Linked DNA regions of Rhinolophus ferrumequinum. The protein of the gene in region 4 interacts with the protein of the main gene of each other region in a pairwise test. Links are inferred from orthologs where the notes say so. Each region holds a gene or a part of one and is shown on either strand. Other genes may lie near its edges. The genes, in order: TMCO6, HSD17B12, HK2 and UBQLN1.

Region 1 (6,823 bases), on a different chromosome or scaffold from region 4:
AGAATCACGCATCTAGGGGCTACTGCCAAGTGGGTCAACCCTGCCTGCACATCTGGAGATAGTTTTACTTACGGGATGATCTTCTCTGGCGCTTCCTTAGCCTGCAGGAGCTGGGACAAGGCATATCCAAGGGCTTCCAGCACAGTCAGATGGGGGGACTAGAAGGAGACACGGTAGGGATCAGACTCTGGAAGGTCAGATTTCCTGAGACTCAACCTCTTAGGCTGAAGATGCCTAACCACAGCAGCTGGGGCAAGTGGAAAGAAGTGAGGGGAGGGGTGCCCAGGGAGGAAAAAGAAGGTGGACACTCACCTGGATGCAGGCAGCCAAGGCTGGAACAATGCCCTGTGGCAGGAGCTGCCTTCTCACAGCTTCACTCTCCACGATCAGGTTCCCCAGTGTATACAGACAGAGCTCCTGAGAGCAGGACAACAAAAGCACTGGACGTGGCTCAGTTCAGGCCAAAATGGGGGCGGGGGTGGGGAGGATGGAGTAGCTCTGTCCTTAAGGCTCTAGGCACAAAGAAGTGGGGGGTGACAGGTATGTGTATGGCTGTGGGAATCGGGAAACAGGGTTTCTTCTCTCTACCTGCCAGCTCAAACTTGATCTAAAAGAACACTTTCTAAACTCAAGCCAAGAACAAGGTAGGAAGAGACAGGGCTTACTATCAAGTCTGAGCTGTGACCGGAGACGTAGGTGAGAAGGTAGGAAGTGGCTGGCAGGCAGGCCTCAGCCACCGCAGACTGCTCAGAATGAGAGAGCTCATGAAGGCACCGAGCCGCCTCAAGCTGCAGCAGGGCCTGGTTGCTGGTCAGAAGCCCGACCAGGGTCCGCATGCTGCCCTCCAGCCTACATGAGTGAGCACCAGAGCCATGCTCAGCCTGTGGCCCACCCCGTCCACACTCCTATCCATCCCTCAAAGCCCCAGCCACTCACTCTCACCACCCACACTGACCCGATGAAGGTCTGCTGCGTCTCTGGGTGCTGCAGGCCTCGACGAAGGGTGACCAGAGCCCTCTCTCTCTCCTTTTCCTCTGTCCCCCGCTGGGATAACCGCAGGAACTGCTGGATCTAGAGCCCAGGGCAGGGAGAGGAGAGATGGCACAGTTGCCAGAAAGCAAATCATGAGTCCTGCTCTGCTCACTTCACCTGTGAGCCCTCCAGTGTTGCACTATCCCTAGAACTTGTCATTCACACTAATATGGCTAATAAGTGGACAGAAGGAGAGTGGACAGAAGAGGGAATCAGGACTGGGTTTAGTACCGGCCCTGAGACTTCCTCTACAAGGGACCCAAATCTTTTTCTCACCTGGAATATGGGAATAACATCTATCCCCATCTTCCTACAGGGTTATTTCAAGGATAACATTTTAACCTCTCAGCCTGGCATAACCTACCCCTCCAGTCATTCTCCCTATGCGACAACACCTAGCATAACATGACTTCTTAATGCTGCCGAGATTTTGACCAATCTATATCTTCTGCCTGGCATACCCTCCCCAGGTCCTCCATTCCCTTCAGATTTCTGTTCCTGTCACTGCCTCTGGGAAATTAGCTCTTTCTGGCTTCCTTTGGCAGACTTAGGGGTTTCTATTGTGTCTCATGTTGCCTTCATGACAGGTGGTAGCACATCTGTCTCCTTCACTGGGCTGTGAACACTTCAAAGAAAGGAACTTTTCATCTTTGTGTACTTCAGTACCCTGCAGTGTCTTGGCATAAAGCACACACTAAATATATGGTATAACTTAGGCACCTGTGAGTACTTTGTAAACTACATACGTAAACCTAGACAATTCAAATGCAGGGGAAGTCCAATGCTTGCTGAATGAATAAACAAGCTATAACCATTCTTCCATTCACTTATTCGATAAGCACTGAGTATCTACCACATGGCAGATACTGTTCAGGCATCTGAGTTTTCAGTGATGACAAAGATAGGGTCTAGGTTCCCATGGTTTTAAAGTCTAGTTGGAGAAATAATTAACAAGCAAATGAACAATTAGACAGTATGATTAATATTCTGCAAACAGCTGTCAGGACAGAATACCAAAAGGGACCCACTTAAGATGAAGCAAATGGAAGGCCTTGAGACAGGAAAGAGCCTGGTATATTGTTCCAAGAACTGAAAAGGGGCCAGTTTGGCTGAGATGAGTAAGCTGATAAGTTTGGAGGCAGGGAGAGGTTAGACCATGCTAGACTTTATAGGTCACAGGAAGGATTTTGGTCTCTGTGTCTTTAAAAGACTCATCTGATTGATGTATGGAGAATGAACCTGAGGGTGGCAAGCATAGAAGCAGATGACCGGTTAGGAGGCTGCTGTAAGTATCCAGAGGAGGGTGGTGGGTGCTGCGAAGACGAGGCACGTAAAGACTCCAGAGGTAAAAATCGGCTAGGACTCCATAAAGTATTGATGTAGGAATGAGGGTCGGAGTTGTGGAGGGTGATACCCGTTTCTGTCTTGGCCCACTGGATAGGTCGAGTTCTGCAGGGACCGCGTTCAGGTTTGGAGACGGATCTCGAGTACTCGAGGAAGGAATCTGGCTCCAGCTAGTGTAGACTTCACCACGCACCCTGCCCCCTTACCTCAGTTTCCCCGAGGATCGGGGCCACACATCCCCCGTCGGCTTCCTCTGGGGCGTCATCTCTCAGTAGCCTCTTGCTAACAAGCTGCTGCTCCCTCCGCGCCTTCCGCAGGGCTGGGGATAAAGGCGCGGGCTGAGGTGGAAGGGGCACCCAGGACCCCGAACCCCGTCTCCCACCCTCCTCATCCTGTCTCCCAGCGCCAAACCCCCATCCTCCCGTGTTCCCTCGCCGGCCCGCACCTGCCTCCCGCTCCCGCCGGCGGCGTCTTAGCTCTTCCACCCCGCAGCCCACTGGCCTGAGACGGCCGTGCCGTTGACTCCACATGGTGAAGCTGGAGGAAATTCGCAACCAGCGAAAGGCCGGGAATAGAAACCCCAGGCCTAGAACGTGGCGCGCGGGTCGCGCAGCCGCAGCGCAGGTCTGAAGGGGAGGAGCGAGCGGGCGGGGCTACGCGCGAAGTGAAGGCGGGGCGGAGCGAGGGGGCGCAGCCAGGGGCTGGGGCTGGGGCGGGGGGCGGGGCGGCGCGGAGGGAGAGTGGGATGGAGGGAAAAAGGGGAGAGTGGAGAAGGAAGGGGCGAAGGCCAAAGGTGGGTTGGGACCCGGGCGGAAAGTCAGTAGCGTCACCAACCGCTCAGCAAACACAACCTCCCCACTCCTAACACACGCTAGAGAAACATTCAAAACTACCCCAAGCTCTAGGAAGATACAAGATGCCATTTCACCAATAACTGGACTCCCACTGATGAGCTCTGGCTACATGCTGGCCAAGTGTTGCCGTATTAAATGTTCGCCATAACAATTACCCCCATTTTACAGGTGAGGAAAATGAGACAAATATGATTATTTCACTCTTCTACATAAAAGTGAGTCACATTATTTTTAGGATAAAATAATTCTTTTGCCAAATTTTGAGCGCCACTAATCCATCTACTAGGTACTAGGGAAACATTGGTGAGTTAAAAAACGTGTTCTTACCCTCAAAATCCGACCTGTGGCCAATTTAAGCCCTACATGGTCTAATCCCTGCACATGTCTCCAGTTTCAGCTGGAAGGGCTCCACACCTTACTCATCTTTTCTGGATCTTCTCTTTGTTTCCTAAATAAGATCTGCTCTTTTCCTCCTTCCTGCTTTGCACAGGCTATTCCTCTGCCTAGAGCCCTGTCTCTGTTCCCCCTACTCCCTACCCCAACCAGCACCCTCCCCTTTATTAACACCATCCTCCAGATCTCAACTCCAGTGTCCCTACTGAGAATTACTGAGACAGTTGCCCCTGTTACGAGAGTGTATAGCACCATATACTTCTTCACAAACCTTTTCGCAGCTTTCATTAAGTTATAATATCATTGATGTGATGTCCTCCCAACCCCCCATCACAACTCTAAGAAAGTAGAGTCCTGGTAGCATTTAAGAGGTGTCATTTGGAGGCCTCTAATTTTCAGAAAGCTATTACTTAAGCAAATGCACAAATAAGAAAAAATACAGGAAAAGGCATTGTTTTTCAAATCAACTTCTTTCCCTTGAATTTAATTCTACTTCTTGAAGTCAATCAATAAAGTCTTCGATCTCTTCCATAAAACATCTACTTAATAGCCGTTGGTCATCATCCTCTCCTCCACATCTTCTCTCCAGGCCATGTATTGAGTACCTGCTGTGTACCATGCTCTGGCTGGGGATAGGGCCTGAGTCTTGTCCCTCTCCTCATGGACAGGCTGACTTCTATACACGCATCTTTCTATTGGTGGGGAAGATAAGACAAGTCCCTAGGCAAACGCTATGTTCTACCCAGAAACAGTTATGGCTGCCCAAACTGCCTTTTTACACTTATCTGCCTGGCAACACTGTTAACCCTATAAGAAACAGCCCCATGTCCACCCTACTACAGGGCTAGCTGTTCCTGTCTCCAGAGCTACCGTGAGTCCTTAGTTTCTCCTCTATAGGAGTCCTCTTCACTATGGACAGTAGTTCTGGGTCCATTTTCACCTCCCCCACCTACTGTAGTACTTGAGGTACTGAGTGATGGTCATGTAGGCATCCCAGAGCTTTGCACCAGCCCTTAGTAGACAAAGATAGATATTTGTCTTGGTAGACAAATGATAGATATTCTTGAATTAAGGTGTGAGTTAATTAAGGTGTGAGTAAGAATCTTTACAGACACTTCTTGCCCTTGTTATCTTGGACTCCTCATCCAGAGTGCCTCCACTAAGGTGATGGGATTTGCTGAGGAGCCAGGCTTCAGTAGTCTGAGTCTTCTGAACGCAGAGTCTCTGACAAAGAAGATAACAGTCAGGGCTGCTGTCAATAGATGTCACTCTGTGCCAAAGACTTTACTCATAGATAGGTACTATTATTATGTCCATTTTAAAAACAGACATTCAGAAATCTGAGGTCCAGACACTTGCCTAATCTGGCAACCTCAGCGGTAGACCTAGGATTCCCTGCCTGGCTGTATGACTGCAGGGTCAGTGTACTTAACACTGAGCTATCTTGGACCACATCTTGGACCTCAGAGATGTCCCAGTGACCTGGCCTGGCCTTGGAGCTTAGCTCAGGGTATCAGGACATGTCTAACAGGACACATAGGGGGAAATGTGATCTCATGAGGCCTCCTTGTTTGGATTGGGGACAGATGTGAAGCTACTTCTTGAAAATAGGAGGAAGTGAGAATTCAAATGTTTTTCACGTAGCTCTTTCCCCAAAAATCCAGAGGTGCAGACCTGTGAGGACCATTGTAAAAGTGTTCACAAAAAATTTTCCATAGCTGAAAGCTTTTCTGAAAGAAAGGGTTTATTGAGCCATATGCTCTCCAGAAAAGGACTAGGTCAAGGACTGGTACTAGAGCATGCAGTCTACATCACCAGCAGCACGGCTAGGTGGAGAAGGCAACATGTCCACCAGCCTGGCGTTGATAGGCTCTTCTATTCATTATGTTTGGGGAAGACAGGTATAAATTATTTGAAAGAATTTACATTGGATACAGATAAGGGGGTGGGAAAAGGTGAAGTGGAGGCAGTTCTGATAGGTGCACAGTCTATAGGGAAGATTTATTTACTACTTTTGATTGCTTACAGACAAGAGTCCTGGGTGTTCCTGTAGGACGCAGTGTTCTCGTGGTTGGCTAGTAGACACTTGGAGGTTGATTCAAAGCTCCAGCATTCATTCAGGAATGTGAGCAGTCTTTGTTAGTTGGCCCACAGCTATTAACTGGTTAATTATTCCTGTCTCTTTCACTCACTCTCCGGTTGCTGTAATTTTATTTAGAACATCTCAGAATTTTTCTCTTGTCAAAGCATAAACCCTACCCCACCCTCTGGGACACTTGCTTTTTTTTCTTGTTAAAATAGTTAAGTTACATTCAACAATTAATCCTCATTCAACATAGGTCCAGCCCTTCCTTCCTAGGACACAGAAATTGTGTTGAGTGAGAGGTAGGGGAGAACAGTGCAAGAGGGAAAATTGTGTTAGAAATATCTAGTTTTTCAGTTTCAGGATGGAGAAAAGAAAACTATAAGAGAGTAAGTGACTTGGCCAACATGTTTCTGTTAAACACCTCTACTTAAGAAAGCTATTATTTTATTATTTTCTTAATCAATAAAGTTAAACAAAGAACAAGTCAGCAAAAAAAAGAAGGAGGAGGAGGAGGAGGAACAGGAGGAGGAGGAGGAGAGAGAAGGCGGAGAGGAGGAAGAGAAAGGGAGTTGTTTTTCAAAACAACTTCCTTCTATTAAAATTAATTCCAGGGGCAGCTGGATGGCTCAGTTAGTTAGAGTGGGAACTCTGAACAGCAGTGTTACCGGTTGGATTCCTACAGGGGCCAGTGAGCTGCACCCTCCACAACTAGATTGAAGGACAATGACTTGGAGCTGATGGGTCCTGGAGAAACACACTGTTCCCCAATATTCCCCAATAAAAAAAATTTTTTTTAATTAATTCCAGCCCTGGGAGTCAATAGATGAAGTTTGTTTGCAATCTATTCCACCAAATACCCAGTTAAATATCTGAAGATATTTAGGGGATTGCACTTGGGTGGCGGGAAGTTAATAGTAACCACCAAGAATAGGGAAACGTCAAGGAAACTCCACAGGTTGAGTCACTGGGATATAGGCAGGGAGGTGAGAGTCCAGGCAGGAGGCACCGGCAGAATTCCTTTCTCCAAACCCACCAGGGCGCCTAAGTCATCAGGACACTGCCTGGCCCAGGGCATATTCAAGGTCCTGCAGGATGCTTCCTGTTACACCCCTCC
Region 2 (7,918 bases), on a different chromosome or scaffold from region 4:
GTTAGCATCTTCTTTTCATTACTTGCCACAGTGACCTTCAAACAACTGAAGCTTCACTTTCACAGGATCTCTTTGTTCTCCTAAGAAATACAGGAAGTATCGCATAACAATGACAGGCCAAACAGTCTTCCCTACTAAACTGGCTAAACCCATCTGCTAGGGACCTGGTGAAACCACTGTAATTCACGGAGTGGGAATGTTATTGGAGCGTACTTGGGAAGAGATGACCACGCTCTTGATTGGGAGATGGAGATAAACTAGCGTATGGGGCAAGCAATGGATGGTCGTAAAAACCTAACTAGACTAAGGAATCTGTGGTCTGGAATATGTTTACTGATTGCAAAGCATGCCTGTATTTCAGGGTTTTTCCAAGCTTTTCTTTTTAAGTTTAGAAGAGATTTTATCTGACCAATGTGCCAGTCACTGTGGGAAAAGACAAAAAAATGTGGACCCACAGTCCCTGCCTCTCAGATTTTGAAATCTGAGGAGGAAAAATGAAACATAGTCACATGAAGAGATTTAAGAATAACAAGAATACAAAATATATTATTAACTCAACACAAATGAGGATGTAATACTTAAAATATTTAATTGATATGGAGAGGAAGATGTCAAATCAACAGTAAGTACTAGAAAGTAGGCAATGCCTCCCTAATACGTACTGCCTGCTACTTGCTTTTATTCAAGTTTGCGCATGATTAAGTAAGCAATTCTATAGGAGAGAAAACTTATTAGTATTGTTTATTGACAAAATTAATTCTTGACTCCTAACTTTGGTTGAACAAATTACCCACTTATTTTTAATCACAATTTAATCCTATTTATTCAAGTATCATCTCTGCTGGTTTGTTTTTCAAAGTATTTCAGTACACCTGTCCAGCTGACACAAAGAACCTGTTTAAGATGAGCTACTCTTAATGTTCTTTGTTTTTCAAAGATTCCCTGAATTTGGAGGGATGACGGAAGTATTTTAAGACCCAGGCTACCACATACAAGCATGTAAGTAATGTTACAAATAACTTGATCATTTCTTATGCTTACGTACTTAAAAAAATTTTCCAACAATCCAGGGTAAACTGAACTCAACAATATTTCATTTTATGACACTATGATCCTCTCTGCTATATTCCAGTGTTCTAGTTCAACTTTCATTTCTAAATCTTTTAAACATTTCCCTTCATTAATCAAAAATCTTTCTTCTGGCATCAAATCTTTTCAATACAAGTATTACTTACAAAATGACCATGTCACACACTTGACTTTTACTATGGACTCATAGAGATGACTTGGACCATTTTAGTTATTAGCCACTATGGTCAATTTTAGATATATTTTTAAAAGCTATTAACCTCCGTCTTTGCTTACAAATTACAAAACTTCATCTTGATATATGATTTCCCAAGACTCTGGAGTCTTGTGTAACTATTTCAAAAGTCCAACAACAAGTTTTCCAAACCTCACAACCAAGAACTTGGGCAAGCCAATTGTGAAATTATAATCCTGATTATAATCAAGTTGAACACTTGCTTTCTCAAAGAATATTTTTTAAAAGGTTATTTTTTTTAAATTAGTACTATGTTAAGAGCTGCTTCACATCGTGGACAGAGCTCTTATATATCCATTCCCTACTTGAGAGCTTTCTTTATACTGCTGCCCCAAAAGGGTATTAAAATGTTTCTAAATGAATAAAGAATATGGAGTAATATTATTTGTGTACCTTACTTGAGCCTAATCTGAAAACAACCCCAAACCACCCCAAAATCCAATAAAATGCTCGAAGTCAGCATTCATATTATAAAACAGCAGAATAATCACATCAGAGAACGACCACAGCGTATCACTTGGTTTAAAAAAAAAAAAAAGTAAGAGAAACGAAAAATAAAGGAAAAAAAAAAAGCAACAATAAAGCAGAAAAATAAAACCAAGCGCAAAACTTCCCTGCAGGTAATTTTCTCAACTTCTCCAACCTGACCTTTCCCTTCCATTTTTAAAATCCTCCGAGTGGATGGAACAAGAGCCATTTGCTTAGCTCGCTCTTTGTGGAGATACTTTTTCCCAAATGTCCTTCTACAAAAAGTATTTCTGATTTTTACATGAAGAGTTACCGTTTTGCAGAAGCAATAGTTCATGAGGACTCCAACAGTTTACCGAATATTTTCTTTTAAAGGTTTTGTAAATTACATGAAATTGGCTGAATCCAAGTAACTGGAGGGGTAAGTTTCCACAAAGCAGGAAGACTTCGGAAATTCTATGTCCTCTTCCTTCAGCCTCACCCCAAAAAAGCGAACAGAATGCTTTTCATCTTTAACACAGGGCCAGTATTCAAATCCAATGAAAATATTTGTAAAACACTCGGAAGGGGTGAACAAAGGTGAGTAGAGTGTGACTGAGAAAGCAGCAGAGACTGACTTCGAGCCATGAACCCGGAATGGCTTAAAGGATAAGCGCCCCAGAGAGTTCAGGCCAGATTTCTCCTTTAGATTCGCTCGAGTTGGGCCAGCAAAGTATTTAGCATTTAGAAATTACAAGTCTAGGCAAGCCAGAGATGGCTAAGGGGCTAGGCGGGTACGCAGGAGCCTCACGAAGGAGAGGGGAGCAGGGAAAGGGGAGGCCATGCGCTGGGCCCGGAAGTGGTCAGCGCAGGCCAAGCCGGGCCGCAAGCCGCGCGACCCGCTGCGGGAGCGAGAAGACCGACGGCGCTGGATCCGACTCACCTGCCCATTCACCGAGCCCTGGTCCGACCCCAGGCTCGTGACCCAAACCCCAGACCCGAAGAGCCATGAAGAGCGAGCACGAGATGCGCAGGGCCAGGTAGGCCACGGTGCCCGCGCCCACCCAGTACAGGAAACCGGCGGCAGGGAGAGCGCTCTCCATGGCTTTCAACCAGGCCTCACTACTTTCGTGAATGAAAAAAATCTAATGAATGGATCTTGGAGGAGGAACCGGCCGTGACGGTGAGGACAACTCTAATAGGCGCTGCTCCGGTACCGCTTTTGGCTGAAACCCCGCCCAGAACGCCATATCCGTGCCGCCATTGGTGATCTATCTTTTCCTCAGCGCGTAGTGCGTCAGCTATTGGCTGACTCCAGTTGCACTGCCCGGCCCATGCCCCCGCCCTCTTGCGCGCCCGGCCGTGTTTCCGTTCTAGGGAGACTGATGGCTCACCTGCCACGCCCTTAGGATTTCGGCACGTCTCACCCTACGAAATAGCCCAGGTCTCTCATTGGCTGCAGCCGGAAGACTGCACTCCAATTGGCCAATGAGACCCAGCCTGGTTTGAGCTCGGGTTTGAAGGGGGAATGGGATCAGAGAAGCCACTGGTGAATAGCAAGATTGTAGTAAGAAATGGCCGTGCAACTATGGTTTTATTTTCACCTCTTTATTAAGTACTTCTATATCATTGTTAAATAGGCTCTCATTGTTCCCATAAGCTTTTCCGTATGAAGTCTTGCATCTCCTGTTTCTATGCCTTCTCCGCAGCACACCTTCACTCCGGTTATATTCACTTACTGTTTAAACAACATAGTTCCCAAAGTCGCGGAGTTCAAAGCAAATGATTTCATGGAGACAAGTAACGAATACACAATGGCATAAGAGATGTATGATGAATGAAAAATGTATTAACAGCTTGATGAACAATTAGTTCTGGAAAGGGACGCCATGTTTTTACTGGGCCTTAAAGGATGACAGATTTTTCTTTTACTTTCTTTTTTTATTTCCTTTTTTTTTGTTGGGGTGGGGGGATTGAGATGAGAGGAGGCACAAAAGTGTGCAGTCTAAGTAGAAGTATGGGAACTATTTCACCAAAGTTCCGGAGGAGAAAGACCACGAGGTAAGTTTAAGAAATTGTGTAATGCAATACAATGCTTCACACTTATTCTATAATCAATTTTTGTTTCCTTTTCTGGTATGGATTTGGACTCTTATAAGGTACCTACAATTTTTTCTTTATTTCTAGAGAGAGATACCTCCCATTCTTTCTCCACTCTCTTTTGAGGAATAGAGTGAAGAAATAAAATGGAGTCACTATAGTCAGCATGACAAATTACTAAAATCAAGTAGGTTGAGGCATGAGGAAACAATTCTATTCCTGTTTTAACTATCCTGGGAACTTAAACTTTTGAATTTTCCAGTCCTGTATCAATTCCTGGATATACATCAAACCTCCAGATAACCCTCTGATTACCCCCTGAAGGACTAAGGAAAGAATATTCATGTATCCGGACCATCTGGCATCTACTATCCAGACCACCAGTCATTTAGAGGATTATTATCTTAAACCAATCCAGAGGCTATGAATGCAGGACTGATTCTTCTTAAGAATGTATTGTTTACTATAAGAACCCTTAGCTTTTCTGTCTTCTTTGAACACTGTGGGTATTGCCCAGTTGTGTTTCCAGTTTGCAAACTCTCAGACCATTAAATAGATCTTTGTCATTTATTTCTAGCCAAAGCCTCCAGACTCCTTTTGAGTTTGTTTGACATTTACCAAATTAATTAAGTGTAACCCTGAGGCTGTACTGTTCTTCATAAACTGATAACTGTCCAGGATAATTCAGCCATGTAAGTTGAGCTGGCACCATATTTTATTTCAATGGAATTTGATACCTTTGGCTGAGGCTGCCTGTCCAATTCAACTAAAGTCCTACTATTCCTCTCCCTCAGCCTCTTCCTCTTGCCAAAATCTTTACCTACATACAGCCCCAAATGTATACATCCCATTTCATTATTGCTCACCAACAAAGGGCACTCCAAATATTAAGTCCTATTCTCCTTAGGATAAAGTAGAAGGAGGGGAAGAGAGATCTTATAAACTAAAAATACATATTTTTGTTGCATTTGTAATATGCATGTCTATGGCCCCGACTAGAATTTATGATTATTGGGAGCAGTATGCTATGAATCCATTGAACCTAGAATAGGGCCTGGGACCTAGAGACCCTCAATAAATGTCTGACAAGTAAGTAAAAGATTCATTCATTCAACAAATATTATTGTGTTCTAATTATGTACCAGTAAGGAGCTAGGTACTGGGTATGCAATAGTGAGCAAATGGTCAATTCTTTGTCCTCATCCTACTCTGCCATTCAACCGTGGGTGGCCACTGTTTTCCTCACCAGCTGCTCCTTCCTAGAGTCTTTTGCTGTTCCCTCCTTTTGCTGGCCTCTAAATGATGCAATGCCCATGGGCTCAGACCCCAGCTCTCTTTACTTCTCTACACAGTCTCCCTGCATGATTTCATCCAGTCCCTTGGGTTTAAGTATCTGCTGTAAGCTCATGACTTCCAAATGTCTGTGGCCGGCCTCAAATTCTGTTGAGGGGGGGGTGGGTGTGTGTGTGTGTGTGTGTGTGTGTGTGTGTGTGTGTGTGTGTCTCTACGTGCCTACTCAACATCTCCACTCAAATGTAAAATAAAAATAAACGTCTCAAACTAAACATTTTCAAAACAGAACTCTACCAGCACCACACACACACCTCTCTTATTCCCATCTCTATTAAAAGCACCACTATTTACCCACTTTCTTGTAAGCCCTAAAATTTAGGGGTCAACCTTGACTCTCTTTTTTTCCATTACAGTCTCATGTCCAATCCTTCAGCAAGTCTTGTTCACTCTCCCTCCAGAATGTATCTTAACTGAACCTTCTCCCCACTCCTGTTACTGTCAACCTCATCCAAACCACAAGCATTTCTTGAGTGGAGTACGCCAATAGCCTCCTAACTGGTTTCCCTGAAGGCTGTCTTGGGGATGACTCTCCAGGCAGGAACTAGAGTGTTTATTCTTTAAGTAAATTAGATATTATTTCTTCTGCTCAAATCCCTTAAGGACATTATATCACATTAAGAAGAAAGTCCTGGAGCAGCCAGATAGTTCCGTATGGTAGAGCGCAAGCTCTGAACAACAGGGTTGCCTGTTTGATTCCCACATGGCCATGAACTGCACCCTCCACAACTAGATTGAAGGACAACGACTTAGAGCTGAGGGGCCCTGGAGAAACACACTGTTCCCAAAATAAAATTTAAAAAACAAGAAGAAGAAAGTCCTCCTAGTGTACCTGCCCTCACCTCTCCAGCAGCATCGAGCCCCCTTGCCTGTGCTCACTTGATTTTATCCACACTTCCTGCAGTTCCTCAAATAAGTCAAGTTTATTCCGGTCTCAAAGCAGTTCTACTTCCTGATTCCTCTCCCTGGAACCCCTTGCGCCCTATTTCACAAGGCTCACCCCTTCATATTATTTAGGCTTTTGCTCACACATCCTTCCCCTTCAGCGGTTTTCTCTGACTGCCCTGCATAAATATCCCAATAGCCTTCTCTCCTTTACCCTGTCACTACTTATTCTTTTCCCCTAATTTGTTTTTCTTATAACACTTAATGCTTTCGAATTGTTTATTTGGTGTTAGTCCATCTTCCCAATAGAATGTAAGTTCCTGAGGCCAGTGACCTTTTCTTGTTCACTGTGTCTTCACCTAAGATATGCACCTAAGACTACCTGACACTTAGTAAGTCCAGGTAACCCCCATGTAACACGCACTTCTGTAACACGGTTTTGCTCTATGGTTTGAGAATTAGAGAAATCCCCAAACAACACGGAGCGTAATAAGAGCTTTTAAGAGCAAAAGATATCTCACTTGAAAATTTTCATTCAAGCATGGATGTATCAGACTTGACTGCAGAATTTTACAATTTAAATCCGTTTTGTTCATGGAGTATTAAATTCAGAGGATAAAGATACCTTGTAAAAAAGAAAACGCCCTTGGGGCCGGCCCGGTGGCTCAGGCAGTTGGAGCTCCGTGCTCCTAACTCCGAAGGCTGCTGGTCCGATTCCCACATGGGCCAGTGGGCTCTCAACCACAAGGTTGCCGGTTCAACTCCTCGAGTCCCGCAAGGGGTGGTGGGCTCTGCCCCCTGCAACTAAGATTGAACACGGCACCTTGAGCTGAGCTGCCGCTGAGCTCCTGGATGGCTCAGTTGGTTGGAGCGCGTCCTCTCAACCACAAGGTTGCCGGTTCAACTCCTCGAGTCCCGCAAGGGATGGTGGGCTCCGCCCCCTGCAACTAAGATTGAACACAGCACCTTGAGCTGAGCTGCCTCCCTGATGGCTCGGTTGGAGAGTAGGCTCTCAACCACAGGGTTGCCAGTTCGATTCCTTGACTCCCGCAAGGGATGGTGGGCTGTGCCCCCTGCAACTAGCAATGGCAACTGAACCTGGAGCTGAGCTGCGCCCTCCACAACTAAGACTGAAAGGACAACAACTTGACTTGGAAAAAAGTTCTGGAAGTACACACTCACTGTTCCCCAATGGAGTCCTGTTCCCTTTCCCCAATAAAATCTTTAAAAACAAAACAAACAAAAAAAAAAAACCGCCCTTGGTTTAATGGTTCTTAGTAGCAATGACAAAGAAAATATTTACTACATATTAATATGTTATACTTTTGGTGAAAATTGCTTTAATAAAGACATTGCTCTTAATTATAAAAATATGATAGTATTTTTTTTAATTTTTGGAACCTAACCCCCTCTTTTGTACTAGTCCTTTGTGTCGTATAACACAGATTCACATAACACGGCATTTTTAGGAACCTAACGACCATGTTATACGGGGCGGGGGGGGTACCTGTATGCAATAAATACCTGTTGGATGAATGAATAAATAAAAACAGTCTAATGGGAGAGAGAGAGACATCCAAGTAATTATATGACAAAAATTGTAATAAATACAAAGAAAAAAGAATAGGACTTAAGGAAAGAAGATCAAGGGAGGACCTAATTGGATGGGAAGAGGAGACTTCCCTGAAACGCCTTTCTAAGGAGGTGGCATTTGAGCTAGGAGCTAAGAATAAGTAGAAATTAATCTGGCAAAGAGTACGGTAGGGTTGAGAGGAGAGAGCAGCAAGTATCATCAATAGTTTTGTTTTGGTT
Region 3 (6,954 bases), on a different chromosome or scaffold from region 4:
ACCCCAGCAGAAGGTGGGGTGGGCAAGAGCATGGTGCTCTGGAGCCCGACTAAGTGGCTTCAATTCCTAGCTCTTATGAAAAAAGCTAGTGATCTTGAACAAGTTAATTCTGTGCCTCACTTCCCTACCAGTGAAACAGGGATGCTGATAAAACAGCAGGTCCTCAAATAGAATAACGTTGTTTTGATCAATGTCATTTCATTATAATGTTGATGAGATGCCACAGGAACTTAATTCTTGTTTATATCAATTAGACCATGGTAAAAATTGGTTTCATTATACATCATTTCTCTTAAACTCACAGAGCCTATCATTAAGCAAGGACTTACTGCAATTGTATCTACTTCATAGGGTTGTTGTGAAAGTTAATGAGCTAACATGCGAAGAGCTTAAAACAGTGCCTGGTACACAGTAGGTGCTCTATGTGTTTGCTCTTGAGTTTCAAACTGTCAATGGCAAAAGTTAACAAATAATCCTAATTCCCTTCCTAATGGCACAAAACACTGGGCTTGTGCATCAGGAGACAAGTGACCCCAGTGGGGCCAGCTAGTCCTGGGCAGGTGACCCTAAGCTTTCCATGCCTCAGACTACAACCCAGGAGACATAAGATGATGGGGATTTCAGAAGCATCCAAATCAAGGCCTGATCAAGACTCTAAAATTAAACTCAATTGTCCTCCTTCTGTGCTAATTCTTCCTCCTAGCAGCAACTTGAAAAGAAGCTTCCAAAATATTCTCTCTGATTCTCTTCCTACTTCCTATGTGTTTGCAGCTGGAATCAAACATCTGTGCTCACTTAAGGTTCTAACACCTGGTGAGTTAAAGGCCTGATTCAACTCTGCCCCCATTGGTAATTTAGAGGAAATACACCCAAGTGTCCCCCAGGCACTTCACAGGATGAAAGGTAGCAGTTGCAAGTGTACAGAAGAGAAGCCAACAAGAAAAATGTTTTCAGATTGCGGTGCTTAATTATCACAACTCCATAAATTGGACAGGGCCGCTGTTTGTCATCCCCATTTTACAAAAAGAAATTGACAGTCCAAAGAGGCAAAGTGCTGTGCTCAGGGTCCTATGGTTAAAAAACAAAACAAAAGAAAAAAAACCCCACAAAACAGAGATTAGAACTCATTTCCAGATACCAGGGCTAATTCTCTTTCCACTTTGGGACCAAAGAGATAGTTTCTTTCCAGGCCAGGAGGGTGGTACAACTCCACAGTTCACGTCCTAGCCTCCTTCCTCTGGATTGGGGAAGAATAAATCTGTAAAAGAATTAAAATGTCCTGGGGTGGTATTCACCCAACCGAGAAGACCTTCAGTTGGAGTGAAGATCCTACATCTTTGTATTTTAGGACTTGCCAAGGGATGACGGTCTTCCCCAAGTGTTAACTCTCTTCTTGGGCAGAGAAGCCCAAAGAAGTTGCCAAGATCCTGCCAGCTCACAGACACGTTCTTAACTAAACTGAATTAAAGTGCAGAGCAGGACCACATCCCAGGAATGAGTTAGTGAATAAACAGAGAAAAACTCAACTCAAACAGCCGCCCTCTGCTCCCTACTCTAGTCTGAACCTGAGTAATTCCCTGCTTTATTGGGGGGGAGGAGGCAGGGGGGCGTTCAAGTGCCAGGGCTCTAAAAACACCAAGACCCACCATTCTCTCCTTTGCTCTCAGGGTCTCCAGGACGTAAATACAAGCAGGTTGCCCACCAAACAATAATGTCAAGACATTTTTCCCAAAAACGTGTTCTCATTAAAACACAGAAACTTTAAGTACCGTTTGTAATTGAGCAATGCTCCGTCAGTGCCTCACAGCATTGGGCACTGCCCACCCTCGCCCCAGCCCATCCCCTCTTCTCAAATCCTAGCTGAGGCCCACCGCCAGGAGCCAATCCTGAAATCCCGAACATTTCAGAAACTGAATTCTCCCCAGAGTGATAGGTTCTTGGGCCCAACCAGGCCCCACCCCCACCCCATACCCGGAGGCACTGAGAGCTGGGCTCTCACCGCGCGCCAGAGGCTCTTTTTTATGTAAATGATTGGCCCGAAGGGACCGCTCGGACTGGGGAGCCTGCTGTGCGCGAGGTGGGCACAGACAGGTCAGGTACTGGGGCAGGACAAAGCTCGTTTTCGGAACGACAGAAATCTCAAGGAAGACAGGAGGGGCGGAGGTGGGGGGAGTTAGTCGTCTCTGAGTAACTTTTAGGAGCACCAGAAATAACATCCTAAGTCCGCCCCCCCCCCCAACTTGGAGACGGCCCCGGGGACCCAAGGCTGTGCAGTTCTGAGGCAGATGGAAGACGGGGGGCCTTGTACGCCCCTTGCGGAGCCTCAGTTCCGGGCGCTTCAGTTCCGGGGAGTGGGCGCAGCGGGCGGAATTCCTCCCTCTCTTTCCCAATTCCCTCGTGGGTGGGCCTCTCCCCAAGCACACCTCCGCAAGGCGGAGGGGAACGCCAGTAGGAACGGCACTTCCCCAAAACGCGGTACTTTTGCGCAGGAGGCCCCTGGCAGCCCCACGCGGCAGCGGAGCCTCCTCCCCCAGCCACAGTTCTCCCCACGTGTTCTCGCCGGAACTCAGGCTGCGAAAGAGGGGCTCCTCCCACGTGGGCCCATCAGTCTAAGACTCCTTGCCCGGTGACCCGCCCCTCCAGAAAAAAAAAAAAACGCGAGCACGCGCAGGGTGGCAGGGAGTGAGAGCCGCGCGGAGCGCGAGCCCCAGCGCCTCACGCGCGCGCGCACACGCCTGCCTGTGCCTAGCGGACGTGGCTCCTCGTGCCCAGGAGTTTACCCGGCCGCCCAGACTTTTTCCACGTCCTTCGCCCTGAATGGGGAAGAAGCATGTCCTCTCGGGGTCAAGGAAAATTCCGGCCGGGAACCCGGAGAATAGGCCGGGGACCATACAACTTTGTCAGAGGCGAGCCAGCTGCCTCTGCCCGGCTTACTTACCTTCTGCACTTGGTCATGGTTGAGCTCGGTGAAGAAGTAGGCGAGCAGATGCGAGGCGATCATCCTGTGGCGGACCGACGGCGCCGAGTTGGGAAACCAAGGCTGGAGCGAGTGTAGGAAAGGAGGGCAGCACGGTTGGAAAGCTTTATACCCGGGCTTGGCTGCCCGACTGGGAGCGGTAAGTCCGGGCGGCCCACAGAAAAGGCTAACAGTGATGGCACGCCCGGCTGAAGGGTCTCGGGTCTCTAGAAATAGGTTTGGGGAGTCACAACTGCTAGAAGGCGCCCAAGAATCACTCCCGGAGACGTCGGGTTGCCCCGCTGTCAAGGCTCTAACTTCAACCACAGGATCACTAAGGCTCAACTTGGGAAGAATCGCAGCTCGGCTCCACTAAGGCGATCGGACCTCTCCGGCTCACACGCGCCCTGCTCTCGCCCACGGATCTTCTCCGCTAGGTGACTCGGCGTTGCTAGTGGCGGCCCGGGACTCCTGCACTAGAGTTTCGTGCAACAATGTGCCTTATTGAGGGGCTGCCGGCTCCGGGGCCGCCCAGTAAATGACGCGCGCACGCCCATTGGCTAGACTGGGAGGGTGTGTGCACCACGGGCCGCCCGCCGCCACAGCACAGCCAATCAGCGCGCAAGGCCCGTGGGCGCGGCCGCTCAGACACCCGAGCCTGCAAGCCAGAGGGGCGCGCCGGGGTGGGGGGGCGGGGCCGGTCGGCAGGGATGAGACGTGTGGTCCGTGGCAAAAGGCTGGAGCGGAAAGGCGCATGAGCCACCGCCGCGTCAGACTCAGCTATGGGTGGGGGGCGCGTGATCACAGACCTGGCGTGTCGGGCGACTGGTAAGACAGGTCATCCGACCAACACACGTCCTGTGCAGGGACAGAGATACCGTTTGGCATCTCGTTGTCATGTGAGGGGCCCCACTGGCGGGTCACACTTCTGAAGTATCTTAGTTCTCACCTATTGTGGCTCAACGGGTCCCAGCAACACTGATGCAGAGCGAGCTGCCGCAGCTACTGCTTACTTGATGTCAGGCATTGCAAAACTGATAGAACTTGGCTTTCACAGTTTGTATAATGAGAGAGAGAGAGAGAGAGAGAGAGAGAGAGAGAGAGAGAGAGAGAGAGAGAGAGAGAGAGAGAGAGAGAGAGAGAGATATGATAGTTTTATTATATGTATTCTTTCTCAAATCTTTCCCATCTCTCCAACGATCCTAATTCACATACCCAACATCTCTCACTTGATTGCAACAGCCTCATATTTGGGCTTCCCTCTTTAGATATAGAAACATCATAGATTGTACATAGACTTAGATATCCAACAGAGCTTCTTAGAGGAGTGAGGTGGTCAGCTTTGCTTTTTTAGAGCAATAACTGCCTCCCTGTGGATTCGGGGAAGAGGTCAGAGACCAGAAGCAGAAAGCAGCCAAAGCTGTAAAAGAGGACCAGGGCCTGAACCCCGGGGAGGGTTAGGCAGAGCATCAGGCTATGGGTTCACATGTTTTAAAGTCTGAGTTAGAATTTATGGCTTTGTCCAGGATTGGGTGATGAAGAGCAAGGATGCCTGCTCCCTAGATATAGTTGGAAACCCAATAGTCCAGTGCTGCAAAACCCATTGGTCCCAGGCAGTTGGGACCAAACCCAGTGGGTTGTATCAGCTATGATCTGTTCTCCACAAACTAATTTTAGAGTCTCTTCTCCACTTCCCTCTCTGGTCCCATTTCATGTTGACCAGATAATGAAAGTACATACTCATATTATGTCTTATAAAGTTCCCAATCCCAGGAGGGGGTGGAAGTAGTATTGTTATAGCCCTAATTTATACATGACTAAGGGGGGTTACCCACACAAGGCCAAGACTGTATCTTCAACTTTTCTGATTCCAAACTCCATGTCTGAAGTTTATTATTTATTGATTCTCAGCTATCTCTATCTCTCTCTCACACACACACACATTGAAGAGACATCCATGTAATTGAGACTCCACAGCACCAAGAGAGAAATCAATCAGCAAATATTTATTAAACAAACGCTTACAATATTTAGACAGTCTGCTCAGTGCTGTGAGAAATATGAAAGAAACAAGATGTGGTTCTTGTCCCTGAGGGATTAACTATTTAATCAGAGATATAAAATCCATACATAAAACAATGATTACAGAATGGAAAAGTCTATCATCGAGAGCCAAACATGTGTGTGTGTCTTTATATGTGATGGAGTTTGGGAGGAGGAAAAAACAGAGCCACAGGCCAGAGTGAGCCAAGGGTGGTCTGATGGATACAAATGCCAGCTTTTACACCAGGCTGGATCTGGCCTCGTATAGGACTGACCTGAGCCGGGCACTAAGCTTCAGGGAGCTGTCCTGGGAAGATGCCACTTTATTAAAAGAACTTCATCTACTAAATATTCATTTTTCTAATTAGGATTCATCAAGTTTGCAGGTTAAGTGTGGAATTATGTAGAGAATTTAATATTGATAGTGGGCCTGCCCTAAATATACTCAGGACTCCTTGTATCATGTTGTCTTTAAATATTGGACCCTAACGATCTGCTTGTTTCATAGTTCAACTATAATGTATGAATTTAGAAGATTGGGAAAGAAAGGCATTGAAAAGCAGTTCAAATAGAAAAATGGAACCCACAAGATACATAACAACCTCATTTTATCATTCAGATTTGCAAACAGAACAAATTCAAGCTATTTTCAGCAGCAAGGGAGTTTGCTGAAGAATATTTAATCCCTTTCAGGATCTTCAGGAAGGCCAGAAAATCAGGCTCAGAGGCTAACCATCCAAGAGTGATGTCCAAGTTATACCATTGAACTCCACTAGTGGAAATGCTACTGCTATGACCATTGGGCTCAGGTACCTCTGCCCACACTCCTGATGCTGGCACAGAATTTAAATCCAGGACATGCCACAGCCACCTTTGACAAGATGTCTGTCTCTCAGTATCCTTGCTAGAAGGAAATCTACACAGTACCTCCTTCTTTATGGCATTTGCTTCCAAACTGACATCTAGCAGATGGTGGCAAGAGCCTGGGCCAAATGTCCATGCCCTAGCTGCAAGGAAAGTGAAGAAAGCATGCCCAGGAAGTCAGGATCCACAAGTGGGAGAAGTCCTCAAATGTAAGAAGGGTATTCAAAGGGGCTGGCCAGGCCCAAAGCTTGACAAACATCCACCCCGCCCAACAGTCACTGAATATGCTGTATCAGAAAGTTTAAAGTGCCCTTAGACAAATTGGCTTCCTAACATTCCCAAATCTATCCAAAAGATTAAAAAATAAGACATGTGTTCTCAGTGGGAGCTAAACTAGAAAGTAGTCAGTACGCTAAATGACACCAGGAAAACTCACTGTCAATGAATTGACATGGGCTGGATGATTCACCCTGTCCACACACATTCCGTATCCCAGAGCCTGTCCACAGATGTATTCAGTGTCACAGTAAATGAGAAAAGGCCACTGTGAAATATTGCCAGGAGGCCCCCATCCAATGCCATTCCAAACATGAGGGCTATCGTGTCTGATTCTGTCATCCTTCTGGCCCTATGGCCATATATTCCCCAGACGGTTTGCTTGAGAAGAGCATGGCAGCATGCTGAGGCTGGCATGGGAACACTATGTGGTCTTGGACCTGTCTGAGCCCCAGTTTCCTCTTCTGCAAAGTGGAGATCATGAGATGGAACGTGCAAAGCCTTTCGTTCAGAGCCTGGTATGTAGTATATCTTGAATACCAGTTTCTAAACACATATTTCATATTATCAAGTCGTCTATGCACTAAGAACTCGGTAGTTAAAGAAAATTCCAGGGCCAGCCCGGTGGCCCAGGCTGTTGGAGCTCTGTGCTCCTAACTCCAAAGGCTGCCAGTTCGATTCCCACATGGGCCAGTGGGCTCTCAACCACAAGGTTGCCGGTTCAACTCCTCGAGTCCCACAAGGGATGGTGGGCTCTGCCCCCTGCAACTAAGATTGAACATGGCACCTTGAGCTGAGCTGCCTCCCAGATGGTT
Region 4 (7,194 bases):
CTGTACTTATGTGGATGTTAGGCATTAATTTGCCTCCTCTTGAAAAAACAGTGTTTTGCACCTTAGGGGTGGTCATAAGAGGCCTTCAAGTGTTTAAGGAAACACCACGGGTAGATCACAGAGCACTAAGATCTGACAGGGAGGACTATCCAAAATGAGGCTGCCCTTGATTTCTTGGAAGTATTTCTCAGAGGAATAACTTTCTTGCTATTTGTATGAACCTGGGAGCAGTTATTCTTACGAGAATCATTCAATTAGAAGAGGTGGAACAAAATTTGTCCTGAATTTAGCTGAAGAGATCAATGACATCACATTGGCCCTGGAAAGCATTCAAGTCAACCTCAACTCGCTGCTCAGGGTATTTATGATGTAATTGCTCTAGACTCCCTCCTCATAAGCCATGGCAAAGTATGTGCAATTGCTAAGACATCCTGCCATACCCAGATTAATGCTTTGGGGCAAGGGGAAGTCAATACAGAAACAGTACTAAGGAAGCAGCCAAAGTAGATCTCGATGGTTTATAGGATTTGTTCAGTTGATTGGGTCTGGACCCTTGAGGAGCAGTTAATACTGCAGGTTGGCCTCATCTTGCTACTTGGAATCTTGTTGATAATAGCCTTATTAAATGTTCTAGAGACAAAAAATGGATTTGATCCCAGCCTCTGGTGGTCAGATTAATCACAATGACCAACAGAGTGACACCCTCAAAGGAGTTTTCCAGAAGCCAAGAAGTGCAAAAACAAGGAGTGGATATCATCGGGAGATAATTCTTCATGGGTCTCTCATATTGTGTGTATTTTGTGAATACAGGCACTGACTACTATTGGTGGGCAGAATAATGGCTCCCCAAAGATCCTAATCCTCAGGACCTGTGACTCTGACGCTTTACATGTGAAGGACTTTGTAGATGTGATTAAGAGATGATGAGATTATCCTGGATTACTTAGGAGGGCTCAGTGTTATCACAAGGGTCCTTATAAGGGAAAGAGGGAGGCAGGAGAGTCAAGAGATATACAATTGAAGCAAAGTTGGAGTGATTTGTCCATAAACCAAGAATGTGGGCAGTCTCTAGAGGCAAGGAACAGATTCTATTTGTCCCCCAGAGCCTCCAGAAGGAACACAGCCTTTGATTTTAACCCTTTCTAAGATCCATTTTGGACTTCTGACCTCCAGACTTGTGAGGTAATAAACCTGTGGTGTTTTGAGCCACTAAATTTGTGGTTGTTAACAGCAGGAATAGGAAACTAATGTACTGCCTTTGTTTTGGACTATGTTTTCAAGGATATCTGTATAGCGAACTGTCCTTGAAGATCTCTGAGCAAAGGGCTGCAGGATTACTGCCCATTTGTAAGATCTGGGTTCCCCACGCTTGGGATTTCTCTTAATGCAAGTCACTGTATGTGCAGGTGTCACCTGGCCCTCTTTGCATCATTCTTCAGAGGTTAGGGCTTGCTGAACTGGTGCCAAAAAAAAAGAAAATAAAAAAAATAAAAAAAATGATGGTACCCTGGCTACTGCTATTACCGCAACAAAGTCTGTTTCCAACCTAGGAATTTTGTCTTCTGCCAGCATTCATGAAACTTGGCTTGTAAGTACGTAGTGGGAAAATCTCAGACCCTTCACAATGCCTGATTATAGAATAACTCAGATAAATCACACTGTCATTCTGTCTTCGCCTTTCAATTCACTTGGGAATCACGTTATATGAATTATTGGGATGAAATGGAGTGATTGAAGGCTATACGTTTTTTTCTTTTTTAAAACACCTCTCAGCTGCCTACAGGTATGTAGACTATCTCAATAGGTTGCCTTCTTAAGTACTACAGAACTCCCAACATCCTAAAGCATCTTTTCCTATAAGCATTAGTATTCTCTGGAATACGTAGATGATTTGCTTCACATAATAGATTTTGCATTTTCACCTACTTCTCTCTGATCTCAGAGAGTACTTAAAATTTCTCCATGGCTCATTTGCTTAGTCTACACAACATGATGGCAGACTCTTCACATAGGATAACCTCCTAAGGTCAGGAAACACAGTCCAAATACATATGTGTTGAATAAATTTGTTATCTGAAAAGAAATCATTAGGCTGAGAGCTTCACACAGTGAATGGTTCCTTCCTCTGAACCTATTGCGAAGCAAGTAAGTTTCAAGGTATAGCAGTATAAAGTACGCATATGATCTAGAGTTCTAAATGAAATTTCCTGTCTAGTGGAAACATGACAGCCCAATAATTCAGTTCAACAATAAATACTCTGAAGCCAGGAACTGAGTGCACTGTGTGATTAAGACTTGATCCCTGTTTTCAAAGATCTTGTCTAATAAAGGACTAGACACAATTACGTTTAATACACGGCAGAATGTGATAAGTGACACCAAAAACAGCAATAAAGCTATATGGGAATATGCGGTATTTATAGAGAATGTATGGCCTACAAAGTCTAACATACTATCTAGTCTTACTTGAAAGTTTGTTGATCCCTGATCTGGACCCCCATCTTCAAAGGTTCCTTACAAGGTAGGATTATTTCTAAAAAGTGCTTTAATGAACAAATAACTATACCATATATTCTTACAGATACAGTACTTCATAAATTGTGCAAATACTTCAGAATTTAGAAATTAATGTAGACAATTAATTACAGAACAATTTTCTTAAGTGTTGGGTTAGAGATAAATGACTGGTTGTCCAATGGTGGAATTTTCTACCTTGAGAAGTAATGATTACCTTACATCTAGACACAAATATAGTCATCCTTCAGCAGAGAGCCTTGCATATGTTATTGAACAATGCTGTCAGAAATTTAGCTGATACCAGATGATGACTATATTGCAATTTATACTTTCCCCCCCCCTTCTTCCGCCTGCCCTCACCCCTGCCCCCCATTCTGGTTCAAGCCCTATTTCTCAGTCCAGCTGTGTATTATGAGCCTTGCACTCCCTCCCTGCTGAGGCAATCAGCTGGCCACTCATGGTAGCCTACCGCAGCACATAGCAGCCCACAGCAGCCCACGCCAACCTCCTGCAGCTCATGGCAGCCCAGCTCCCGGGAGAGCCATTGTTCACAATCTTAGCTGTAGAGGGAGCAGCTTACTGGCCCATGTGAGACTTGAACCAGCCACCTCCTCCACCTGTTTGTTAGCACTTGGAGTGCAGCGCTCCAACCACCTGAGCCACCAGGCCGGCCCCAATTTATACTTTCACAACTCCTTAGGCCCAGATTCCAAAGGGACTCTGCTTTAAAGTAGTCTTCATGCAACAGTATTTTTTTCCCAGAAGAGAGTTGGATAATTTAAAAACAAATGCAGAGTGCATCTTTGCAATATTTGGGTCACGTTGGGCTGTCGGGGTTTACATTTGTGTAACACCGATTAATAAAGTTAACGTTCTGGGTTGTACATTCCTTGAAAGTCATCTTTAAAGGCAAACAATGGCATCATTTTAAATTTGGAATTTTCAAGGGGAAAATAACTTCTTATTCCTTATTTGTACCTACACTACATTGAAAATAATTATCTTTAATATTACCTAAAGTTTGAAATAGAGCAGTAACTTAATTTGGTAGAATATAAAATGGAACACTTCGGCTAAACTTCCTAGTTGGGTGGGCACTGTTTCTGTCCCAATTTATGGGATAGTGTTCCCAGAAAATTGGGGGGGTGGCGGTGCTCGCGCAGGATTGTAAGAGCGGGAGCGGAGGCCCCAGTCAACACAGGTGGCCTGATCACCTGAGCACACTGGCCTGACCCAAGGACAGGAAGCCGTGGCCATAGAGCAATGACTCGCGGGATTGCGCACAGCGGCTGGAGACGTCTACATTTTCCTTTCGTAATGAGGATTTTTCCTCCATTAACTTAACTTCCAACTTCCGCGCACTGGGCACTAAGATCAAGCATTTTAAACCTTCCAAATAGGCAAAAACTGATCGTATTAAAATAACAAAACACCTCCCCTGCATTTATTACAGACCCCCGTCCCAGTGGGATGTACGGAGGGCGCCCAGACCCGCGAGCGCGGCGGCACGGCCTTTGACAGAACCGGGTAGGGGGAACTAACTGGACCCCCACCGCGCAGCCGCGACCACAGCAGCAGCGCCCAGTGGTCGAGCCCCCTTTCTAGTATTTTCGCTAGGCGCAACGTCATTCCCGTGCGCCGTGACAGTGCCTCCCAGAACCTGCGAATTTATTTTTTGGTGAAAGGAGTGAAAAGAAATGAACTGACCTCTCCCACTACACTTTGCTTTTAGTCCTTCCCTCTGGCCGTGCCTACAATTTGGGCCATGGAGCGGGAAAGGGAACGTAAAGCAGCCGGAACTCGAAGCGGCGCCGGCTGGGCATGACTCGGTGACGCCGCCAGCCGCATTACCCGGCGTGCCCTGCGCCGCGCCGGCGGAGGGACGTTGGGGAGGGGTGGGGAGGAGGAAGCGGCGGCGGCTGCGGATGTCGCTGCGACCAAGCCGCGTCTGAACGGCGGCTGCCGAACGGCCGACCCGGGCCTGCACCGGAGCCCACACCCAGCTCCGCGGCCCGCCGCCCGCGGCCCTGCGCCTGTTGACACCAAGGCGGCGCGTCCTGTATTCTCCGTTGCCCGAGCCAGCCTGCTGTGGCGTCTCCTGGCTCCCCCTCGCTCGCCTGCACCCTCCTGAGTCACTGCCGCCGCCGCCATGGCCGAGAGTGGTGAAAGCGGTGGCCCTCCGAGCTCCCAGGACAGCGCCGCCGCGGCCGAAGGTGCCGGTTCCCCCGCGGCCGCTGCCTCCGCGGAGCCCAAGATCATGAAAGTCACCGTGAAGACCCCGAAGGAGAAGGAGGAGTTCGCTGTGCCCGAGAATAGCTCCGTCCAGCAGGTGAGGGCCGCCCTGCGCTCGGGCCGGGGTGGGGGTGGCGGCAGGACCTCCGCCCGCGGCGGGAGGAGACGGCTTTGCAAAGGCCTGGGAGGGGGTCGTCCCCGGAGGTGCTCTCGGCCATCTCCGGGCTCGTCCCAAATTAGATCACACCCAACTCCGTGGATTTGCGCCTTGGGACACCGCTGAGGTTTGTGGCGGGGCCGCGCGGCCTGTTTGTAGAACGCGCCGACGCCGCTTCCCTCCGCGCCTTCCTTTTGCTCTGGCGTCCACGGACCCCCAGCCTCCGCCCCCAGCTCCCCGCCCCCAGCCGCCTCCCCGCTGCTCAGCACAAAGGAAAAGGACTCACCGTCTGGCTCCTGGCGAGGTGAAGGCTGAGCCGGGGCGAGGGTTCACTTTAATCTAGTCGGCGGTTTTGTCTCATGAATAAAAAAACTGGGCGGGGGGTGCTCATTGTTTTACCTGCCTGTGGGTTAAGGTGGATTTTACTGTGAGGAGCACGTGTACATTTAGTTTTGCATTTTGACTGCTGATGTCTTGCCCATACTTTATATTTAGTTTTTTAAATTAACTATGACGTAGATATTGCGTACAGCCACATCGTAAGAAGTAATACTAGGCTTAAGGAGAAAGGTGGATGACTTGCAATGATGACTTGCTGTTTTTAATGTGTTTATCTTGCCTTAGATGCCAATCATTGAGTTGCTTTTTGTTTGATTTTAGAGGAACGATAGCTGCGTTATTCAGATATTATCGTAGCGGTTGCAATCGAATAAAAGAACATAGTTGGCGTTAATGGACAATGCTATCGAATAATTTATAACTTAAAATCTTCAGGAATACAAATTGTGCAGTTAATTAGAAATCTTGAAGAATTCAACAAATGGTTTTAACTTTGTTGAATACATCCCAGAAAATTTTCTGTAATTATTGATCTCTGGCGATTTCAAACATTGTGAACAGTTTATGAGGAAACAGCAGACCCTAAAATGTACCTGTTTCCCCAGGGACGGTAAATGGGGTATTGGTTTATATAGTTCCAAAAGGTGGTGTGTTTTTTGAAGCGGTAAGTAGAGCATGTAGCATCGAGTGAGAGAAACTTTTACCACCTACTGAATCACCACGTTTTTTGTCTCAATTTTCCTAGGAAATTTTTCCTTAATTTTATATTTTACAACATACAGGAAAATTGAAAGAATTAGACAACGAACACCCATATGTCTATTGCCTACAATTAGCATTTTGCTGTATTTGCTCTATCACATCATTTATTAGTCCATTTTATTTTTTGGATGAATTTCAAAGTAAGTTGTAAGTATCAATTCATGTTACCCTTAAAAAGAACTTCAGCAATGTGCACATCATTAACCTGAGTTCAATTTTTCTTTTAATTTTTTTCTTTTTAAGTTTGACTTGCAATAAAATACACATGGTTTCCATTCTGTGTATTTCCACAAAACTCCTGTGTAATCTAAAGACTCATCATGATGTAGAACTTTATAGTAGACTAGAAAGTTACGTCTTACCCAGTCAGTTCAGTCACTCTCCCCTCCATCAACCACTGTTTTCATTTTTTTCCCCATGGGTTGGTTTTGCCCACCCTAGAATTTCACATAAGTGGGATTATATAGTATGTATTGGGTAAGGCTTTTTATTCACTCAGCATATATAAGTTTTTGAGATTTATTCTTGTATATATCACTGATTCCTTTTTTGTTGCTGTGTTGTTTTCCATTGTATGAATATACAGTGGTACTTAGGTTTTCCAACATCTCCGTTGACGAACATTTCAGTTTATGAACGCCGTAAGTTTTATGGATCTATGGTATCATTAAATAGTAAAATTCATGCTGAATTTGCAGTTTTAGGGGTTGATTTTAAAGATCTGGAATGGATTAATCCATTTTGCATTACTTCCTATGGGGAAACCGAGCCTCGGTTTTTGAACATTTCAGAACTCAGAACGGTCTTCCAGAATGGATTATGTTCGAAAACCGAGGTACCACTGTACCGTAGTTTATCCATTTTGTTGAGGTTACTTTGGCTGTTTCCAGTTAGTTGCTGTGAACATTCTTGTACAAATCTTTTTTGGACAGATGCTTGTCTCATTAAATACAATGGTACCTCGGTTTTTTAACGTAATCTGTTCCAGAAGACCGTTCGAGTTCTGAAACGTTTGAAAACAGCTGACAGCTAGGCCTCAGGATCTTGCACTCAGCGGAAGCCATGTGACATGGAAGCCATGTGACATATTCCACTTCCGAGGCGTGTTTGAAAACCAAAGCATTTACTTCTGGGTTTACGGCATTCGTAAACTGAAATGTTTGTCAACAGAGAGGTTCGAAAACCGA

The links.
Region 1: the proteins of UBQLN1 (region 4) and TMCO6 interact in binary tests that used the Homo sapiens proteins (3 or more experiments, as listed by UniProt). The two-hybrid records come from large-scale screens. The link is inferred for Rhinolophus ferrumequinum from reciprocal best matches to the Homo sapiens genes UBQLN1 and TMCO6.
Region 2: the proteins of UBQLN1 (region 4) and HSD17B12 interact in binary tests that used the Homo sapiens proteins (3 or more experiments, as listed by UniProt). The link is inferred for Rhinolophus ferrumequinum from reciprocal best matches to the Homo sapiens genes UBQLN1 and HSD17B12.
Region 3: the proteins of UBQLN1 (region 4) and HK2 interact in binary tests that used the Homo sapiens proteins (3 or more experiments, as listed by UniProt). The two-hybrid records come from large-scale screens. The link is inferred for Rhinolophus ferrumequinum from reciprocal best matches to the Homo sapiens genes UBQLN1 and HK2.

What each region holds. Positions count from the first base shown.
Region 1 is NC_046307.1:15,176,366-15,183,188, reverse strand, and holds the start of TMCO6 (transmembrane and coiled-coil domain-containing protein 6), read right to left. Parts: upstream 3,018-6,823; 5' UTR 2,907-3,017; coding exon 2,822-2,906; intron 2,696-2,821; coding exon 2,583-2,695; intron 1,074-2,582; exon of another isoform or gene 1,072-1,073; coding exon 956-1,071; intron 850-955; coding exon 666-849; intron 513-665; exon of another isoform or gene 418-512; coding exon 313-417; intron 159-312; coding exon 73-158; intron 1-72.
Region 2 is NC_046294.1:16,773,295-16,781,212, forward strand, and holds the start of HSD17B12 (very-long-chain 3-oxoacyl-CoA reductase), read right to left. Parts: upstream 3,009-7,918; 5' UTR 2,875-3,008; coding exon 2,715-2,874; intron 1-2,714. UniProt on the Homo sapiens protein: Catalyzes the second of the four reactions of the long-chain fatty acids elongation cycle. This endoplasmic reticulum-bound enzymatic process, allows the addition of two carbons to the chain of long- and very long-chain fatty acids/VLCFAs per cycle.
Region 3 is NC_046296.1:17,289,210-17,296,163, forward strand, and holds the start of HK2 (hexokinase-2), read right to left. Parts: upstream 3,002-6,954; coding exon 2,939-3,001; intron 1-2,938. UniProt on the Homo sapiens protein: Catalyzes the phosphorylation of hexose, such as D-glucose and D-fructose, to hexose 6-phosphate (D-glucose 6-phosphate and D-fructose 6-phosphate, respectively).
Region 4 is NC_046295.1:47,098,034-47,105,227, reverse strand, and holds the start of UBQLN1 (ubiquilin-1), read left to right. Parts: upstream 1-4,178; 5' UTR 4,179-4,666; coding exon 4,667-4,846; intron 4,847-7,194. UniProt on the Homo sapiens protein: Plays an important role in the regulation of different protein degradation mechanisms and pathways including ubiquitin-proteasome system (UPS), autophagy and endoplasmic reticulum-associated protein degradation (ERAD) pathway.